2 linked regions of the Daphnia pulex genome follow. The protein of the gene in region 2 binds, or shares a complex with, the protein of the main gene of each other region. Links are inferred from orthologs where the notes say so. Each region holds a gene or a part of one and is shown on either strand. Other genes may lie near its edges.

Region 1 (3,984 bases), on a different chromosome or scaffold from region 2:
TCGGCCCATGCACCTGGCCGAAGTTTTAGAGAACATTGTAAAACATAAAAAAATGTATGCTGGTTGCACAGTAATTGAGAAGCTCAGTTTTCGGAGGAATAACTGTCGAAAGTCATATTAACTGGAACGACCCCCATCAAGGAAAAAGGGCTATTAGTCTGCGTTTAGTCTCAGTCTCTTTATGGCAAATCCTGGAAAGTGCGTCTATAAAACGTACGTATAACCACGACCCCTCATTTCTCGAAATAGAAGATCAAACGGAGGTATGCGTGTCTGCTTCGAAAGAATGTTGCAACTTGCTCGATACAAAAAGTCTCGATTGGAAAATTTGTATTGTAGTTACGACTGCTGAGTGATCTTAAAACTTGTCCAAGAGCTGAAGGATGTGTTGTTTCTCTTCTTCTTTCGCTTCGCTTTCACTGCCATCGCCAAGATTTCCTGCGTACTCTGCGCGAAGGACCAAATAAATATTAGTTTAACTTGGACAAGGGCTTTACGATTGGACGAAAAGCGAAAATATTTACCTCTCATTATTTCACGAATTGTCTTGACTGTGCCTCCTCTCAAATTGAGCGTATGCAAAACGCGCTGCTTGATGGTTGCGGCTCCTGAGGCGCAAACTTCCATCATAATGTAGTCCACCAGCTGAAGCGTGAACAATCCACCTTCCAGACGTTTAAGGTACATTTCGTCCTCGTCCTCTTCGTCGTCGTTCCGCTGGAGTTGAGCGTCAATCACGCGTAATTTGTCGAAGTATTTGAAGTGCAACTCCATCAGTCGATCGGTTTTTTCGTGGTCGTTTTCTGTAAACTTCGTCAGAAGTCTGGTGCGCTGTGATCCTCGGCACGACTTTAGCATACTTGCAATCACCGAGACTATATGTTCTAAAAAAACGATTTACACGGGTCACGTTTTATAAATTTGTGATGCACATCAGTATTTGCACTATATTTTATATTTACCTTCATACTCTTCTGCTGACATCCCCTTTCTCTTCAGTTTATGCGGCGTTTTCATGAATAGCGGAAAAATAGTCCTTAAGCCGAGGATGTCCACAAATTTGGTGCAATTATCTTTACCGGCCTCACCACTAAGTGCGTGATTCAAAACCTTTAACGCGCCATTTCTGGACATTTTTTTCTCTCTGTAAAGAAAGTGGGGAAAAAAACGGGTCAGGCTTCAAGATCAACAATATGAATGGTAGCAAGCCGGATCGTGGGAATTTCAACAATACCGCAACATGAGGTTCATAAGTTGCAAGCCCTCTCCCTTCAGAAATCTGTCGCGGTTGGGAACGTGAATCAGACTGGAACAAACACAATCGAACAAATTCTCCATCATTTCTTGTTCTTCTCCTGTTTTGGGATCTTGCCGCTTGAAAATCTGCGAGAAAATAATTAAAAAAATGACTTGCACTTTTACACAAATGAAAAATGAATGAAGAAAAACGTTTTCTTACGGCTAACTGTTGAAGCAAAATATCAATTCCGTCAATTTCACCCAGAAGTTGCCGATTTTCTGGTGTGCCTTGAAGCAAAATGGACAATATTTCACTGCAATATAGTTTGTTGGCGTCGAATGGTAATTTAGCTCTTAGCCGCTTCATTATCCAACTCAGCAACCCCTGTTGGGCTGCTTGTTGACACACTTCAGGCCTAATTTCCGTTAAGTTTTCCACAATGGCTGAAAGAACAAATTATTTTGTGAACAAAAACTGGGTACTTATGAATTATAGAAACATAAATGATCGTCTATACCTAGTGTATTGTGAACTCCGTCAGATTCTTCTGTTTGAGCTTCGTTTAGTCTTTCCAGGTTGTGGACTAGGAGGGCACAGATTTGCTGGTCCAGGAGTGCATCAATTAGAATTGCAGCTTCATCTTGACTTTCATTCAGAGTATCAATGTCAGTCAATTCTTGAAGCAAATTGACCACAGCGACAGAAATGTCTGCATTGTCATGTGACAATAGACCTAGCAATGTTGGTATAAGCTTTTGTTCAACACCTACTGTGTATAGTTCAGGAGCTGTTGCAAGTGCATGCATCAGTTGAATTGCTTCATGCAATTCCAATTCTGATTCCATAAACCTAAAAGATAAAATAAAAACTATTATGAAGAATGATGACAAAACAAGCAGAGGATAGGAATCATACTTCTCTGGCGCATCTGGAAATTTAACACGTAGTTCTTGATTTTTCAGAACCCGCTTTTCAAAATTTAGAATCATTCTCTTTAGGGAGGCTTCATCAAGGCTTTCAGAACCTTCATCTTGCTCTACCAATTTGAGCAATTCTTCTTTTTCTGGAGTTTCAACAACTGGGGGAGCAATATATGTGGCTGTTGATCTTGGGTTTGGCTTTACATTACTGGTTGGAAACTGTTTAAGTTTCTTTCCGGGACGTTCAAACTCTGGCTCTTTATCATCATCTGCAACATCTCGTTTGGGGTTTTGTTTTGGCTGTAACAAGAAAGTAGTGATTAATCATAATAAAACAAATGAAAGCTTTCAAAATAATCCAACAAATGCCATTGCAATATATGCTCCATGCAATCCCATAACATCCAATGCTTCTGTTTCCCCTTAATGGACTTATAGCTAAAGAAGTGTTAATACAAACTGATTTACACACCTTAAAAGATAAAAGTTCACCGACATCCATTGCAGATATTCGATTAAATTAAATAATGAACCAGCATAAACAAAATTTGAAGAGATCTTTTGGAACTTTCAACTTTTTAAAAAACACGATGTGTCAAACATGAAAATAGAGTCATCTACCGTTAGGAATATCAGAATAAAAACGCCATCTGGCCATAAGTAATGAAACTCGATGGGTCGATTTTATGATTAGTGTTGTCTGCTTTCGTTTTGTTTGAAAGTTTCGAAAAAGAAAAAGAGACAAAGATTTTTGGGGGGAAACGTTACGTTGCTGCACGAAAAATAGCACTAAAAATTAAAAACAAAAATGTGATTGCCGTGTCAACTCTGGTCGCCGGTCGCGTGTCTTTATAGAATCGCTTAATGCACATACACATGCTGCTTTAGCAGGTAAAAAAACCCCATAAATTCAAATAGAATGACTGACTAGCATGTATCATGTAATAAGGGGCTTACATGATAAGTGTTGCTATTGCATGTGTGTTTGTGAGCACTATGTAACATTCTCATCTTTGTGCAGATTTGAGGCCAGAGCCAACCATCAAACCACAACATATGCAAGTTTTGCTTGTGCCAGTATTCACAGTGTCATCAGCAACAATCTTAGTATCATCACTCAGGTAATGATTTTCGTTACTTTTATTAACCTGTTAGATGTTTTAAATAGCCATCACTTGCAGAGTGTTACAGGGAATTCTTACATTCTCTTGTCCATTAATAAATAGGATTCATCTGCTGTCTTGTTTTCTATTTATCACTAATTGTTTCTGTAAATATTTTTCGTAACTCATATTTCATATTTGATTTTTATTTAGATAGGATTTATAGCATCCCGTTTGATTGGAGAGACTATCACCGATGTCGACCGAATTTCTTCCCCTTTCTTGGAATGTCCTCTTTACACCCATGTGAACGTGGACTTAAAGGCTTTAAGGTAGAAAAACATTTATCTAAATTCTTCCTTTTTGACTGTTACTTGGCGTTGATTATAAATTTTTGAGTACGATTATTCCTGAGCTATGCGGTTGACCGGAACGGTTTTCTCTTGCCGTTTTTGTTTACTCGGTCAGGGTTTGAAAAAGTGGTTGCTCATTTGTAGAACGGCTGCAGTTCAGGCCCTGTTTTGTACCTCACAACTTTGTCTATAGGTAAAAAGTCCAATTCAAAAATATTTCAACTTCAAACACTTAAAGCAAAGTGCAACTAGAAAAATTTTATGACGAAAGAGGGTCCTTGGTCGCCACACTGGCACTCGTTCTTAAAATATTCCCTCGGTTAACCCTCGTTTTCAATTAGAGAAATTTTTAAGAAAGTTTTTATAAA
Region 2 (2,930 bases):
CCTGACCGGAGCGATGGGTACCACCTCCTCGGACACGGGGAATACGAGCCACAGCACGACCAGTACCCCATGATTCAGCACTTGTCTGATGACCTGTAATAGGAAAGAAGAAGATTAACAATCACACCATTACATGTGTGTATGAAGTTTGTCCGGTTGCCCAACCCCTCACTTTAAGAAAACAAAGCGAGAAAGGCCTCAGGGACTCGCTTTAGTGTTGCACACTGCACAAGAAGAGTCTGACGTACAATTACTCCTACATTTCAATGCTGTGTGCCATATAATTGGCATACAAGTTACCTGCTTTCTCGCTGACACAATAAGGGTGACGACGATTCATTGACATTTGTTGTTGAACAAAGCTGACAATGTCTGGCCTAATGGGAGCCCTGAAGATTGCAGGGAGCTGGATGCTGGTTCCAGAGGCCTCAGCCTTCTCATTGTAAACGGTAATCAACGGCCTCGCGACCACCTTACTCTGTAAAACAAAATGGATAAACAAATTAGATTTAAGATTTTCAAGAGACAACACTTGAATTTACACAAACTTTGAACTAGATGTACCAATTAACCAAAACATAACAATAAACCAAGAACGACGTTGAATTAACATAGAAAAACAGCAAGAGCCCATTTGACACGAGGACGAAACCACGCTGTGGGTAACATTTTACTCCCAAACTTTCGCCATAGATTAACAAGAAAATGGCTTAGAAAAATATACGCACGCAAGAATTTTCTTAAAACACGTTTCTCCCGTTAACCTTTTTACTTACTATTCGTAAATTAATGTATGTAAAAACTAGTAAAATGTTTGGAGAACCTCATGCTTACCATCTTGGTAGATAGTCCTGACCGGGTAAAAAGGCGAATGAAAGAGACCCACAGTAATGGCGACAAAGAGGAAGTCTACAATGTTGCCGGCATACTTTGAGAATTGCCGCCCTCTACGTTCCGTTTTTTACTTGATTATTTACTTGAAAAATTACAGATTATTCACTGAACTGATCCACTGTTTAATAACAAAAATTATGGAGTTTCAATTGATGATTTCAAACATTTTAATGGAGTGATTAGTTATAAAATTTTTAATATTGTTTTATTTGTTTCACAATGCAACGGTGTCCAAAATATTATTGAATAAAATTTAATATACCAATTTATTTTCATATTTTATTCATTTAAAGGAAGTTAATGATCTTTATTCATTATCAAAAAGTAAGTTTATGAATAATTAGACATAATGAAAATCAATTACTAAAACTGTGGCTCATATTTATTAATCCAGCAGAAAATCTGACAATCTTGCTGACAACAGACAGTTTGACACAAATCACAAAATGCCGATTCCGTCAACAAACATTTCCACGCCGAACGAAAGGATTTTGGTTGACGATTTACCATACGTTGACCAAGAATATGGAGATCCAACTCTACGAGAAGCGGTAAGCAAAACTTATACATTGCAAACTTTGAAATATTTGAATCGCTTCGAATTGAGGCTTGGAGATTCTTGTGTTAGCCTAGTCATCTCTAACATCAATACATTATTGTACTAGACCATAGTACTGTATGTTGCTGAGAACTCTCGCTCTTGTCCAATAGTTGTTTAATGAGAGTAATTTCTTTCTATCAGGCACTTGCATTGGTTGATGAAGAGACACGAAGATATAGACCAACCAAAAACTACCTAGAACATCTTCCTCCACTTGAGCTGTCAGCATTTGAAGTAAGAACTGTCTGCATGGAAGTAATGATAGGAGTGTGTAATAATTATGGAAATTATCATGTTCATAGACTCCTTTGATGAAGACTGAATTTGAGCGACTGTCTCAAAAGAAACCAATGGATGTTTTGAGCATGAAACGATATGAACTCCCACCCCCATCTGCTGGTCGTCTAAATGATCTTCAAGCATGGATAGAGTGTGTTGATAATTCAATGGCTCAATTAGAACATCAAACAACAAGGTTTGTTTTCTAAAAAAAAATTTTACAGCAACCATAAATTTAAAAAAATTTCAATTAAAAAACAGGATTTTGAACTTGGAATTAATGTCAGAGTATGGTTGTGAATCATGGAGAATTTATAACACTGTATTGTCCCAGATGATCCAACAATCTCAGAAGCATCTTCAGGAATTTAAGTATGATTTCAGTAAAGTAGACACCATATTGCAAAATACACTATTATATTTTTCTTTACAGGAAACAAATCCAAGATGTCAATTGGGCTAGAAAAAAAGATCAGACAGAGGTTGGAGACAAAATGAAACATTTGGAAGCCACTTGGTTTGGTTTGATCACTAAAAACTACGAAATCGAACTCGCGTGTGCTGAAATTGAGAGACAGTTAGCTTCACTTAATGAATGAAATTCAATGTAAACCTACTTTATCGAATTCGGATAATACACTGCAACAGGAAATTGATTCATCCGAGATTTTCAGTAAGTGACAACCAAAAAGATTTGGTTGTAAGGGAACAAAACAAAAAAATAGTATAAAGTCATGCACTTTCAGATTAGCTTGTCTTATAAATGGTAAGTAGCACGTTCTGATTTTATATATCACACAATTGAAAACGAGAAGAAGCGTATGAGTACAGCAAAGCGTAATTCAGAGAAGGGTAAAAAAAAGGGTAAGATCATAGGGAAGTCTCACTTGGGGCTGAACTTAAAGGTAAAGGGCGGACGGAAGACTCATCTTCCAGCACCATAACTCGTTGCTTTAGGACGCGAACCTGATAATCACATGACATTTTTATGTCGGTCACACTTGATAACTCGTAATTTTTCTCTATATACCTGCATTGCATGTCTTTCCGACATGTTGACCATTTGCTGCTCTAGTCTTTTTAATCGAGATTGGTACTTTTTCTTAGTCCTCTCAAGAAGTTGGACCAACGTCCTGAAAATTAGTTTACGGATATT

What was found.
Region 1: pre-mRNA-splicing factor SPF27-like (region 2) and beta-catenin-like protein 1 share a complex: the UniProt entries of both Homo sapiens proteins name them as parts of the PRP19-CDC5L splicing complex. The link is inferred for Daphnia pulex from reciprocal best matches to the Homo sapiens genes BCAS2 and CTNNBL1.

The regions. Positions count from the first base shown.
Region 1 is NC_060022.1:2,351,930-2,355,913, forward strand, and holds beta-catenin-like protein 1, read right to left. Parts: upstream 2,801-3,984; 5' UTR 2,663-2,800; coding exon 2,633-2,662; intron 2,461-2,632; coding exon 2,156-2,460; intron 2,090-2,155; coding exon 1,758-2,089; intron 1,684-1,757; coding exon 1,460-1,683; intron 1,384-1,459; coding exon 1,235-1,383; intron 1,145-1,234; coding exon 963-1,144; intron 885-962; coding exon 525-884; intron 448-524; coding exon 359-447; 3' UTR 314-358; downstream 1-313. UniProt on the Homo sapiens protein: Component of the PRP19-CDC5L complex that forms an integral part of the spliceosome and is required for activating pre-mRNA splicing.
Region 2 is NC_060018.1:4,114,108-4,117,037, reverse strand, and holds pre-mRNA-splicing factor SPF27-like, read left to right. Parts: upstream 1-1,157; 5' UTR 1,158-1,218; intron 1,219-1,288; 5' UTR 1,289-1,340; coding exon 1,341-1,445; intron 1,446-1,636; coding exon 1,637-1,729; intron 1,730-1,797; coding exon 1,798-1,970; intron 1,971-2,035; coding exon 2,036-2,146; intron 2,147-2,207; coding exon 2,208-2,373; 3' UTR 2,374-2,430; downstream 2,431-2,930. Other genes in the region: uncharacterized protein LOC124189006, read right to left, coding at 1-93, 301-478, 1,402-1,433, 2,662-2,740, 2,805-2,907. UniProt on the Homo sapiens protein: Required for pre-mRNA splicing as component of the activated spliceosome. Component of the PRP19-CDC5L complex that forms an integral part of the spliceosome and is required for activating pre-mRNA splicing.